2 linked regions of the Lytechinus pictus genome follow. The protein of the gene in region 2 interacts with the protein of the main gene of each other region in a pairwise test. Links are inferred from orthologs where the notes say so. Each region holds a gene or a part of one and is shown on either strand. Other genes may lie near its edges.

Region 1 (8,046 bases), on a different chromosome or scaffold from region 2:
ACATAAGAAATAACATTTTAATTTTCATAATTTTTATTATCCAGCAAACTGAGCTGTAGTTTCTTTTTTTTCTTTCAATAATTTTGTTTTTACAATACATTGCATGACAAACTTCATAAAAACGAAATAATGGCAATAAAGGTAAAATGCATAACTAATGCACATGTATTAGTTGATGCATCTTTATAGAAAAAACACAAAATTGATTTGGAAGAAAAGATCTAATTCATTCAGATACATGTAGGTATCATACAATGAAGAATTGAAAATATTACCCAGCTTTCAAATGAACACAATATTCACATGACTTTAAATGGTTAAAAACATGAAAACCTATTATTGCAAGTACATTTTATTGGAACATATTCCAGCAAAGATACAAAAATTTGTAACGTCAAATTCTGTGCAACACGTGGAGAATACAACAGAGTTATTTTTTTAAAGAAAACGTTGTTCCAGAATCTAGCATGTGAATAATGGGTCAAAAGAAACTCATGTATGATTTAATTAAATAACAGATTATTCTTCAGCAGTGTTTCATATTTCGCCTTCATACATGGATTGCTTATATTAATGAATCACAACCTTTCTGTTTATGCCTATGTCATAGACTCATCAGGCAAAATGTTATCTGTCTGAAGTTGTATTGCAAGAATGGCGGCATTGGTAAATACAAAAAAATAAACAAAACACCGACCACAGGTGTCCACAGGTGTCGTAGATCAAAATGCGTAACTTTTACTGTAAGTTAAGAGTCTAAAAGCTTTGGTGCAGTAATGTGCAAACAAGTCGCAAAATATTTTATTTGGCCTCCCAATGGTGTGAGCTGTTGAAATTGTTGCAAGATTAAATTGATAACACAGATGAGCTACATTGCATTTGCAGCCATTTCTGATGGTCAGTGGTCATTACAAGCAAAAAATAAAGAAAGCTGATTATTTCCTTGCACACAATGCTTTCGTCAAATGTACAATTGGTAAAAAATAAAATCTGAGGAAAAACAAGAAATTCATAACACAAGACCATACATTCTGTTCGAAATAACTTCTCAAAACCAGTATGCTTCTTTGAAAGACAAAAAATTTTCATACGAATATTCACATCATAAACCATTTCAATGTACAACTTTATAAATTCCTCGCAGTTTCCTTCAAAAATTTTCTCACAAAAAATTATTTGACTTTCCTTCCCTTTTTTCTTTTGAATAAAGGACCATCCTACTACACTGGACTTCAAAAGACTAAGCATGGACAAGTACAATTAAAATTTGGGCATTATAAGTGAGTTTACACCAAATGACTGTTACCAAAGTACTGACTCAAAATTACTGGGCAAGCTAAAAGACAAATTGTCATTAGGTTACTAGGTTTGATGGGTTTATCAAATCGTCTTACTGGGCGGAATAAACAAATTCTCAATTTGCTCTGCATTTTTAGACATGTACAGTGTACCTACACAGAGATTGATAAATGCAGAAGATTATCAATTCCATACAACGAACATCATGGACTTGAGATATTTGAAAATCAGAAATAGGAATACTGGGGATCCTGCCCCAAATTTCTGGTAATTTTGGATATAACCAGGTCGGAACTACTGAATGAAAGTAATTTTGTATCAGCACTATAATATTGGGAACTGCAAACCAGCACAGTAAAATAGATTACATAGGTCTATACATGTCTTCTAGGTCAATTTTAAGATCTCAAAGAATATGAATGCAAATACAAAGTCCACATCCACAGTAATGTTTGTTTCGCAGGCCTCGAAAGTCAATAGTCTGTAGATCACTATTTTCAGTTATGAATGTCAGTGTTTCAAAATCATCTGCAATTATTCCAGATTAAAAAGCCAGTTGTTGTGCCAACATAACTTGACATCCACTCTTTACGTGTTCCATCACACTCTGTTTCAAAGCACAAACTTGTTCACGAAGCTTGGTTGCTGTAGTCGACAAGTCTGTATTTTGCGTTTTCAGGTCCTTCACTTTATCCTCTAGCCTGGCAATTCGCTCAAGCTTGCGCTTACGACATTTACTGGCGGCAATTCGATTCCTGAGCCTTTTCCTCTCAGCCTTGATGCGTTCTTGTGTTTCCATATCGATGGGGGACATGGGTGGGTTAGTGGTGGCGTGGTACACCGGGACGGTCTGGGGCTCTTCGCACGCAGGTTCTTGTTTGATACGTTCAACACTCGTCTGCCATCCGCATGTGATGGCTGTAGAGTCAGTGGGCATAGAATTACGAGATGAAAGGCTAACGGTTGATCCAGGCAGTGTAGTCGTCGTAGGCATTGCAGGGTTGTAAATCGATGTCGCAGCTGTGGTCATACTAGAGATGGTGGTAAGGGGGTTGAGGACCTGCTGCTGCTGGTAGGTTGTTATTGGATCACTTAGGTCCAGCTGGTCAACCGACGATTCATCATCGCTCACCACGGACTCGGAGTCCCCCGAATCATTCCGTTGGTGAAGGCTCTGGAGCGCCTCGACGAAACCCTGGGCGAAGGCGGCTTGCTCTTCGGTAACGTTTTTCGGGCAGATAAATTGAGTAGGCGTTGGTGTAGTACAAATATTGCCTTGCTGAGAAATAATCATTTTTTCGAGTTCAGGAGAAGCGAGTTTGAGCATCTGAACGTCTGGAGTCGACAGCACAGCAGCCGTAAGTTTGCGCTTGCCCGTGTCCAAATCCAGAGTCATGCATTTCTTCTTGCTCAGCCACGGGTTATGTGCATCTTCGTAGAACTGAGTCTCCATCTTTTTGCGACCGTTTTCGGCTGACATACAAACAGTTATGAGCTTTCTCTTGCTATGAGCTACAAGTCTGAGTCACAGGTCTCGAATTGATGTGGCAAAGAGGGAGATCCTGTAGTTGGCCAGGTAAAGGATTGAGAGAATTCTCTGTCTCTTCACAGTGCAAAATGAAATGATCGTAGCATGAATTTCCGATACCAACGCTGACTCACTATATATACACTGACTAAGGATTCCCAAAATAGACGGAAGAGCAGTGACATCAGATTCTCGAATAACGATTGGTCGGCGATGATGTAAGACGTGTGTTTGGCAATGTCATCTTGCGATCTGATTGGTCGATCCCAAATGTCAATCAAAGCACGTGCAGTGCTCTGGAAGTAAACGGTAACCCCTTCGACGACTCCACTTTTATAGTAGGGATGATATATTCCAGTGTACATATCAAGCGTATCATGATATAATCACGTTATAAATTAAAGAGACAAATATAATTCCTATTCAGTTTTGGTTATTGAATAATATATCTTCTTATTTTGATACCTTTTATCTCGAAGAACTTTAGATGAAATATTATCTAAATGGTGATATTCTATTGTTTTTAGTTTGAGTTTACCCGTAACGATGTGGACGCATCCAATTACACGTCACAATCTTTTTCCGGGTAATAGAACCAACCTCGCCGGAAGAGGTCCTTCATTTCCATAACAAAACATGCATAAACCTTGATTTCGCTACGTCACAAGTAACAACCCCTTTTTCCTTATATGGTATTGTTGTGGAAGTGAACGAGATCAATCAGGTGGTAAAAAGGTGAGACTAAATTTTGTATGTTGCTTGTAAGTTACTCTTAAGTTATCACTAACGTTTCAAGATGGAAATAAGTGGATGTTTGTGCTAGTAATAGTATTTGCTGTTTCAGTTAGTGTTGGCATTGGCATTGCTCGGCCTAACTCACTTTTACTTTAAAGTTTTAGTTCATAAAATCTTACTCTTAGTTAAAACACGTGCAACTGCAATGCTATTTCGAACACGTTGAGGTGGTGGGCATGCCATGGCATGGTCACATTCATGGACATGTCATGGACATGGATTTTCCCATTATTTATGCAGTCTAGGCCTATCTAGTATAAATCTCGATGTACATGTCTCTCCTGTTTCATTTGCCCAAATGAAGATCTAACGTTAGACCTAGGCTTAAAAGTTTTTAGAGGCAGTGACTGTCTTTTGGGACGATTCAAAGATAAATGCAAATAAAAATAGGGTCTAAATTTTTTTTTTTTACCCATGGCCATGCATGATTGAAAATAAAGTTTTGTAACCTATAGATCTAACGTTAGGCCTAAATAAAAAAAAATAATAACCTAGCCCAGGTAGGTAGAACAAAAAAAAGAAACAGCATTTCTACTAAAAAGCATTAGTGGCTAGATTTAAGAGTCTAGGCCTACCGTAATATTATTATTAGCATTATTATCAGAGACATTGCTCAAAACTTACCTCAAAATTTCCTAAATAGTGAAAAACAAGGCTTAAATACTCAATAAAAATATGTGCCTGGAAATGCATGTAGCATAATGATCCATTCCTATAAGCTATACTGTGTGGGATAGTGGCTAAAAATAGGCATTTTAAAGTCTTTATGTTGACCTAGACTGTTTGAACCTCTGTGAGGAGCTGTGAAACGTGTCACATTGATAGATAATGAACTTGGCTGCCAGAAAATGTTAAGATGTCGATACATTGTTCACTCAAAATATAGAAAGAAAATTTGAGGCCAACTAACCCATTGACTTTTTTTATACACATGTCTACAGCACAAATCTAGTGCCATCATAGCCTAGCCCTTCTGCCTAGATCTAGACCTAACGATAGGCTAGACAGCCATCTGTTTCAAGGATTTAAAAAAAAAACTTGTACTAGATCTAGATCTAATTGGTGAGTGGAGCCAACTAGTGGAACTCAGAGACCGAAGCTTGTGGTCTAGATCTAGAGAGCTGAAATCTGTCTGGTGGAGTTTTAAACATATAAAGCATTTTTTTACATTTTGAAATTTCTCCTCCGTTTGAGTGAGTGACGGTGGCAGTGTCAGTCTACACATGGACTGATGAAATTGGAGGAGACGGTGAAACAAGACATAGCCAAGTGCAACACTGACGAACAGAGACTCAAAACGGCAAAGCTATTGGTCTAGAATTTAGACTAAGTTTGGCCTAGTTTAAGCCTAACCTTATTTATTAAGGCCACCGCACACCTTACGACCCGATTGGTCTGCGACTGGCTTGCGACTGAGTGAGGGGATATGAATCGCAAGGTAGCCATAAGCCTCGACACCGCACACCTTGCGATCCGATCCAACTACCAAGCCGACTACCATGCTGTCTGCGACTCACGCATGCGCTTTTTGCCATAGCAACTAAGAAAATGCGCTTACTACTGCATATGCGCGTTGTATATCATATACGCGTCGTGCAACTCTGCTGTCTGATTGGCTGGAAGTTGGATTGAGCTTGCGATCCAGTCGTAAGGATTCGGCATGTCAAATCCTTCCGATTATCCTTGCGACTTGTCTCTGACCGGTCTGCAACTATCAAGCTGACAAGAGCTGTGACATCACATCTCCCCTCACTCAGTCGCAAGCCAGTCGCAGACCAGTCGGGTCGTAAGGTGTGCGGTGGCCTTTAGACATGACCTGGCTAGGGCTTGGCCCTGGCCTAACATTAGACCCTACACTAAAGTAACAATAAGGTATGATATGATAAGATATAAGTATACTGTTTTCTAGGGATTGTTGATAAATTAATTAAAGTTTATTAACTCTAAAGTCTAGTTGAATAAAAAATCCCCAGAAATGATAGCAGACTTCTATTCCTGTCTAAGACCTAGATCTAGCCTAATTTCTAGTCCAAATACTAAAATAAAACAAGTTTGAACTAAATCTTTTCAACTTTATCTCTAACTTAGTCTTAGACTATGATGTAAGATTTAGCTTTTGGAAGTAACAAGGTCCGTACAGTATGTCATATCTGTGTTCTATTTATAGATGATAAAAAAATGCCATAGACCTTAAATCATTTTTTAGGGTACAATAAAACTAGGGTTGACCACCGGATACTGCCATTTTGGTGTCTTGAGTACACTGAAGCGAATATCCAGTACTATGGAGTGGGTTTAAATGAAGATTAAAGATGTCACTTTAATGGTATGTGGCAAGCAGATCTACACAAACCAATTGTAATGCTGTTTTGGTCTGTAGTAAATCCAAACAACACCTGTGCTTACTTCCTTTAAGATGGGCTTCAAATCTCTAGTTGTCCTTGTTTCTAAAGGTTAAGACTACATTGTTCTTCAGCTATTGCTCATGCCTGTTTACACCGTACTAGACATGTTTTTCATCCGGTTTCTTCAACACTTTGAAAAAAGAAAGTTGTTTGCTGCAAAATTCTGTCTGCCTTGAACACTGTTTAATCAATTGTGGTTAGATTTATAGATCTGTACTGTTATTCATTTTGTTAGATGTAAGACAAGCAGCTTACTTATTGACAATAGTGAATGAAGGGTTTATTGGTGCAGTGCTATTTTGGGTTGTTATTTCATTGTGCCTATTTTTTCCATTCTGGGAAGAAGGGAGTTTTTATCCTAATGGATTTCATAAGAACTGCTTACACTGTTATCACAACTTATTCTTTGGTATTTTATTTTATTAATAACATCTATTCAAATTTTGTCTACCAAGAAAAAAAAATGGATTGACAATTGATTTAAAGGTCAAGTCCACCCCAGAAAAATGTTGATTTGAATGAATACAGAATAGCATAACACTGAAAATTTCATCAAAATCGGATGGAAAATAAGAAAGTTATGGCATTTTAAAGTTTCGCTTATTTTTCACAAAACAGTGATATGCACAACTTAGTGACATGCAAATGAGTCAGTCGATGATGCCCATCACTCACTATTTCTTTTGTTTATTTATTGTTTGAATCATACAATATTTCATTTTTTACAAATTTGACAAAAAGGACCAACTTGACTGAACCACATAGTATTAAGCAATGCTAATTCCATGTGTTCAGGGAGAAATAATCATTGTTTCACTTGACAATGAGGAGAAAATTAGAATATTTCATATTTCATATAATAAGATACAAAAGAAATAGTGAGTGGATGGCGTCATCTGTCTCCTCATTTGCATACGACCAGGATGTGCATATAACTGTTTTGTGAAATTAAACGAAACTTTAAAATGTCATAACTTTCTTGATTTACATCCGATTTTGATGAAATTTTCAATGTCATGCTTGTTGGATTTTTCTCTTTTTATTTTAATCAACTTTTTGTTGGGGTGGACTTGTCCTTTAAGGTGTAAGATAATAATTTATCCAACTTATTTTGTTACAAGGGAGATAGATATACATGTATATGAAATAATTATGATTTCATGTAGTACTCGTCAAATAAGGAAAGTGGGAACATGACATAATCTGCCTTCATATTGTATATTATCTGGCATTTAGTAATTGCTTCCACAAAATATCTCTAAACTTTAAGATATTGATAAATTTGTTATTTGATTTCAGATTTTGCTCAATGAGTTTTGCTCTATTTATTTAGATATAATAATTACTTCCAATTTTGAGTACCCTTTTACATTCATTAGGTCAATGTGTTGTTTTGTAGCATGTAAAACTCACTGATCTGAGAATCCCCTTATTTATATTCATTGATTTATTCCTTGACTGATGGATTAATTCATATTAATAGATCCACATTTTTTTTTTCAAAATATAAAAAGACCAATTATGATTTTATCTGCATATTTAAAACAAAATTTATTGAAAGAAGACCATGTTATATGTATATGCTCTGTTATTTGCTAGTCTGCAAGCGAAGACTCATATTTGACACTTTAACCAATAACAGGTCTTGAGTGAAGACTATACGCCAAAGGCTCTCAGCCATAGTACATAGTGAATCTAGTCTCACTGCTTCAGGCTCTGCATAATGCACTATGCGGATTGCAAAAACCAAGGGTCTGTGTCTACAGACTAGTCATTTGCATGGAATAGGTGAAACACATTCAATTTCAAGCAAAGTCATTCAAGAGTGCATAAAAACACTGCGAGCTTGTTCCACCGAATTACAGGTCAGCTGCATTCCGACTTCTACCACCCCTGCCAGTGCTACCTGTTGAACTACATGTACATTTCTTCTACCTCACCGTTTCCATGGTTACCATGTACACTGAATATGAAGGTGATACAGAGTGAGAATGAGTGTATGGTGAGTCCTCATGGATC
Region 2 (6,971 bases):
AATCTTGCGAATGCAGTCGAGCTGCCATGGGAAGATCTTTTAGTCGTTAACTTCAGTCCATATAAAAACTACATGGCAATGGCCAAACACGCACCACGCTCAGTTCGATCTCCTGAGAATTTTAACTATGACATCAAGATCGAAGCTGAAATACAGCCGTTTCCGATGCCTGCAATTCAGGTCAAGGAGTAACGTTAGCAAGGGTGCTACATAAGCACTTGCCCGGGGCAAGTAAATGTTTGAGTTGGGCAAGTGTTTTGAAGTAAAGACCAAAACTACTTGCCCGAACTGGGTAAGCAAAATTCTCACAGTAGAATGACCAAAATTTGGGTCAATATGATATAATTATTGAGACAATAATAATTATTATTTCAATAATAATTATTATGAAAAAAATATAACAATAATTACTATAATGATAGTAATTATAATTGTAATAATTATTTAGAAAATAATATTAATAAAACAAAAATAATTATCATGATAATAATTATTATAATTATAATAATTGGGACAATAATAAAACGATGAGAAAATAATAATATCAACAATTTTATTGAGACCACAATAACAAGACAATAATGAGATAATAGACAATTGAAATCGATCTGTTTTTATTTTTTGATAGAAATCCTAAGATTATTATTTTAATTCTCTTTCTTTGATTACAAATAATATTAATTGAAAACTTAATTTCTAATGTTCAAGCAAAGAAAATCAATATCAAGTCATGTTTACCCTGTGCACAAACCTACCAGTACCACAGGGCAATTACCCCCGAAATAGGGTTAGGTTAGGTGTAGATTTTTGGATAGGGGTACAGACTACAGAGTACAGTGTAGTTGTCCGGGGGGGGGGGGGGGGGGGGTAATTGTCCAGGGTGGGGGAGTGGAATTGTCCGGGGGTGGGGGTGGGGGGTTATCGTCCAGGGGTAGTTGCCCTTGAACCAAAGAAATCATATGCCAATACATGTATGTCAAATCAATCTGAGTACTTTAAGATTTAAATAAAAAGCTTGTACAATTCCCCATAAGCTATGTATTATAAATGTGCCGTGCCCAAAACAAAGAGAATAATATTAATAAGATTTCGCAATCTTCTTTTGTCCACAAAAAGCCCCATTTTTTCATCACAAAGATGACAATAACTTGACTTCTAGATATCGGAATTTGAAAATTCAAACAGTTTTGTGAATCGTAGATATTGAGCCTCATTGTGAGCCTATAAAATATGCTGGAACAGCCTTTCCTAATTTTCACCTGAAGTGCCTACTTAGTCTTAGAAGATTAGGTGGTCGATAAGGGGAAGGCCTAGTTCCAACCATACTACATGCCTCATTCTTCCCGACAATAATGTATTGTCATTTTGCAAAAGCCAACACTTCAGAGCTCATAATCATATGTCTGAACTGAGCTCTGAAGTGTATTGTTGGCTGTTGCGAAATATGATTATGAAGTCTGAACTGAGCTCTGAGTCTGAAGTGTTGGCTGTTGCGAAATGACAATAAATTTTTGTCAGTAGAGGCGCACGGCCAATATTGGAGACTGTCTCCAATGTGGGAGATTATCTCCAATATCAGAGACTTTTGTAAAGAATTTGGGTATCCAATTTCAGAGACAGTCTCCAGTTTTGGAGATCAATTTCCTTTGTTTACATTTGCTGCAAAAGGATTACCTTGGCGGCAAATAAAAATGTGATAAGCAGATTCCTCATGAAAAATTACCCCTTTTCACCGTCTACTTTTGTTTTGATAAGGATTTTTGTTGTCAATCACACACAAAACAAATGGGCTTCTGACCTCAGTGAGACAAAATTTTGGGTGGAAAAAATCATGTTTTTGTTGGTGTTGTTTCTTTTGTCCTTTTGCAAAGCAAGTCTCCAATGTGGGAGATTGTCTCCCCTATTGGAGAGAGTCTCCCATATTGGCCGTGCGCCTCTACTGTTTGTCAGGAAGAATGAGAAGAGGCATGTAACATTCTTTCATATTCATCATGGCAGCCCAGACAAAAATTGAATGACATTGTCCATTGTATTCACGCAATCCATGGACCAGAAATGGGCATGGCAATTGCTATTCTGATTTCATTATTAATATTAATTCAGCGATCAGGAAAATCCCCCGTTTCACAACCTCACAATTGCAATTGATCATACCCACACTGGCCACAGGCCACAGCCACACCACACTCCAGTCCAGGAACGATCAGTTGTTGTGTGTCCGGACAGGTTGTGTGTCCGGACGATCAATTTTAGAAAGTCATTTGGAAAAAATTACAAGCGAAGTGTCATCAATTTTTAGTACAAAATGTAAGGAAATATTATAGAGAACATAATATAAGATGATTACAACTATTGAATTCATATTTTTAGTGTTATCTTAAGACAAAAAAGAAGGCTTCAAAAATATAAAGTGTCCGGACACCCGATCCCCCATCCTACCATAATAAATAATGCCACACTTGCATGACGCAATAATAATATATCCACCCTACAGTTTCAATGATTTCTTTAGTATTGGACTTCAAATTGAAACAAAATTGTGACTTTGTTCATGCTGTTAAAAGTGTTAGTGTTCCCTATTGCCTTGGATTTGGAAAGCCAAACATGCATTACTTAGTACATTTGTCTGATTTAAAAAAAAAATGGCACACGAATGACGATCGTCACGATGATGTGGTCGTTGACAATTTGCTTATGTTCTTGTTCTTCTTTAAAAAATGCCCTTTTAAAATCAAGCATTTACAAACTGCACCTTAATTGAAATAACTGCCTTAATATAATGTGAAAATCTCGTCTACTTACTTTTAAATCAGAGTTTTTCTGGAAAAATTGACAAGTTCTTTTCGGAGTGAGAAGTATCTGCGGAAGTCTCAGCTAGTATATTGACGCTGCGACGCTTGTGTGTATTTTATATGGTGCTTTGTGTTGACTTGCGATTGGTCAGTCTGTGTCACATGGACTATTTCACCCTTTTCTATTGGGTAATAAAGATAGATCGTGTATCTATGGCACATGACGTCATATTAACCCGCGCCAGATATTTCAGACGATCGATGACTCGCAATCTCGGAATTATGCAATTTCGGCCCAAAACATTTTCTGGAATGATCACTGGTCGCGGGCATAACCTGAACGAGTGGTCGCGGGAGGTATATTAGCGACTGTGTTGTTGTTGTTTCCGTTCAACAGAGTTCATAAAAAATATTTACGCCTTTTTCGCTGTTTAGTTTTTTTTTCAGTTTGTGTTTTTTTTATTGAAAGAATCAAACATATTTACATAGGGAAAAAAAAACATAATCGTATTACCATTTCTAAGTAAAAAACAAAAAGAAAAAGGACAACACAAGACGACACAACACATGTGTTTAGGATGGAGGTTAAAAGAATATATAGGCCTATATATTTATATTTACCAAGCACTGATCTTTGCCAAAGAGAAGCTATTGACAAAGAACAATCTGAGCATATGGAGTTGGGAGTATAAGTTATAATTGGCAGACGCATGAATCTGATAATGATATATAAAAATATTAGGAGCCATCCCTTTTCAAATCAATTTTCTTTAAAAAAAATTCTTTTGGAGTGAATCGGCCTTGGTCGATACCTTAAATAGTTGGTAATTAAAATAAACTAAAAAGAAAATACCTCTTTGAATATTTACTATTGCCGCTATTTAGTAGCGTAAAAATGAGGCCAAAATTTATCTATCTATCTATCTGTCGTCTGTCTATCTGTCGTATGTCTGTCTATATTTATATATCTATCTATCTATCTATCTATCTAATATGGGTGTCGATCGGTGTTCATATTATGTTACTTTTGTTCTCTGTGAGAGATTTTTTTTGGTTGGGGGGGGGGGGGGGGGCGAGGGGTATGTGGCTTACATTTTTAGGGGGCCATGAAGGGCCAAACTTGTAAAAAGATGCATGTGACCAAAGTGAGCAAGCAAAAATTTTGACCCTTTTTTATTAAAAAATAATAATTTTATGATAGACATTGACATGGTATCTACAAATAGACCATCACCTAGCTGTTTCTTTTCCTTTTCTTTCTTTTCTTTTTCGGTCGATCGGGAAACTTTTTTGGGGTCCATGGCCCCCAAGCCTAGCTCACGTCTGAAATGAAGGGTTTCATATACAAACATAAGAAAATTTAGAGAGAAAACAAATTGATGGTCATCACGAGTATGATCTCCTCATCATTATCATATTTGCCATATGATTCATCAGTCACCGTAAATTACTGTGGGATGAGATTCGACGTAGGTCATCCCCAACCTGCATTGGGGGATATCCCCAGCCCCCCCCCCCCCCCGATCGACACCCATGCATATATGCTATCCATATATCTATATCTTGTTGAAGATACAAGGGGATCACAAAAGTGACTCTGCAAAGTGGGAATTTAGATTGTTCGATTGATTGTCACGGTAGTCAATCGTTATGTAGTATCCCGTGTAGTATTATGGTACTTGCAGTGTATTTCGTGAATTAAAAAAGAATAAACGGCGGGCTCAACATTTTTAATGAGTTTTTGAAAGCATTGTCTTATAACGTGCACACTGTCCCTTCAACAAAAACTTGTTTTTGATGTCAGGAAAATGACTGTCCTGTTATTGTATAGTGTTTTGTTATATTTTTTGGGATGATTGCTTGTCAGTGTATTTTAGGTGCCCCGACCAGTACTGTTCTAGTTGCCAACAGACACGTGGGCACAAGGAGGCATTAATCTACTTTTGGCATCGAATCATGCATGCAGTCAGATTTGATACTATAATAATTACACGATAGATATAAAGTGATTGTACAATACACTTTTTATAATAATTATACAAATAAAAATACAAAGCGATTGTACAATGCCCTTTTTTTTAGTTATTGGACAATATATCAGGATTATTCGCCCCAACACCTGCAAAAAAGGGGATAAATATTGTGAGGAGCAAGAACGATTTAACCCCTTGACCTAGAGAAAATTCAAGGATCTTCATCAAAGAAATTTAATCAGAGGTATAAATTCATTATGAAGCAACAATTTGAATACAAGAATTCTAAAAGCATTCAAGGAAGATGGCTCTCTCCACAACACATTCTAGTATTTTCATGAAAACTTTTTTGACACCACAATATACTTTAATGGATGATTTCCAGACATAACAATATATGTATACAAATTGGAATTCGAATAATTTTTTTTCTCACAAGTTTATAGGATACTTCTTTTCTGTATTAAAAAAAAAATTAATCCATAAATTTGAATATCTGTCAATGTCAGGTCCGAAGTCTAGTATATTTTCATATAAAAAACTAATTAGCATATTGATGTTGTTGATGAATGCTACTTATCCATACTATGTTATGAATTAAGTGATATGTTTTTTTCTCCTCGATGATATCACTATCAAATGCTTAAAAAATTATTTCATTTCGCGGGAATTAAGGCATGGGGGGAGGGGGTGGAGGGGGCTGTAATTTGAACATTTTATGGCCCTTCTGCCTGGGGGTGGGGGTCATGGTGGATAATATCAAAGTGAATTAATTAACAACAGCAAATATAATACAAAACACAAAATCTTTAAGTCATAAAATGGTTTCATTTATTATTCATCCACGCAATTTACATGTACACCTTTGTATGTGAGCCTGTTAAAACGAATATAATCAATTTGCGAGTCTGAAGTACAACAGTCAACAATCTTTCACAATATTGTTAAAGGTCATCTGCTTATCAGAGCTAAATCTCAACGATTTTAAACCATAAATGCACAATTTCCATTCTTCTTCATCACTAGAACTAGATAAATCTGAATCTGTGTGTAACAATATGAATCAAGAATAGAAAACTACATGTAATTCCATTCTTTGATAATTCACAAACTAGCTAGCACCTTTTAAAAATGTACAGTGATAAAAATACACTTTGTATTCTAGCATTTATGTACTTACATTGTCATACATAATTGATCTGCTATTCCATGTAAGAGAATACATCTTTAAAATCTTTTTGCAGTTGTACAAACTACAAAGTAGAGTGACATCTTTTAAAAACAATTTTGATTTACATAATCATAATGCCCTAGTACAAGACCCCCTTGGTAACATCCATTGTAGACTTACAGTTCAATATTCAAATAAAAGTATTTTTACATATTTATGTATATTAAACCCACACCAATATAGATATAAAATCAAGTACATAATATCCATATCATTATAAAAGTATAGAATGTTTTGCATAGTTGATGAATGTTTCGATACCTCACTCCTGAATTTCATGTATCAAAATGCGGAATGTTTGGGCAAGTCGATGGAATGGACTTGGATTGAACTGGAACCTACAAGAACGTCTACACGTTTGAAAATTCAGCTGGTATTGCCATTACTTTTAATAGTTAGCATTCATCATTTGAAAATTTGAAATTTACTTTGCTGGAAAACCATAGGAGACGGTTTCTCACAAAACTGTGTAGATTATTGCTTGATCATCGTATTCCAATAACTATTGTTCATTGAAGGCACATTTGGAATACAGAAAGTACAGACGGAAACATCCAGTGGAAACAATGCCTGATAAATCTTCTCTGCTGATAAGTTAGATAAATGAAAACAAAAACACATATTAATAATACCTGTACATGCATATTAGTTTTAAAAATACATTCACTCTTTACACAAGATTAATCATCATTCGTGGTGATACACCTTTTTTTCTTCTCAAGATTGAATATTTATGTATCTAAAACTCTACTACATACTAGACAAACACTTAGAATGATACAAATGTTTTTAGTCTTAACGCTCCCTGCCCATAACCCATATATATAAAGTCCTACCTACAGTACATATAATACAAGAGATGAATGAAAGAAATAGCACACATATGAAGATTAGGCAGCATCTGAGCATGTCAAGTGTATTTTGCTACTTTACTGTGTCAGCCTGATCTATGGGTAAGAATAATACTGCATTTTG

The links.
Region 1: the proteins of polyubiquitin-C (region 2) and transcription factor Jun-like interact in a two-hybrid assay, tested with the Homo sapiens proteins (2 studies listed by BioGRID and IntAct, with this or other methods). The link is inferred for Lytechinus pictus from reciprocal best matches to the Homo sapiens genes UBC and JUN.

Annotation. Positions count from the first base shown.
Region 1 is NC_087255.1:21,057,194-21,065,239, forward strand, and holds transcription factor Jun-like, read right to left. Parts: upstream 3,076-8,046; 5' UTR 2,780-3,075; coding exon 1,844-2,779; 3' UTR 16-1,843; downstream 1-15. UniProt on the Homo sapiens protein: Transcription factor that recognizes and binds to the AP-1 consensus motif 5'-TGA[GC]TCA-3'.
Region 2 is NC_087249.1:18,215,891-18,222,861, reverse strand, and holds the start of polyubiquitin-C, read right to left. Parts: upstream 3,139-6,971; 5' UTR 2,803-3,138; intron 1-2,802.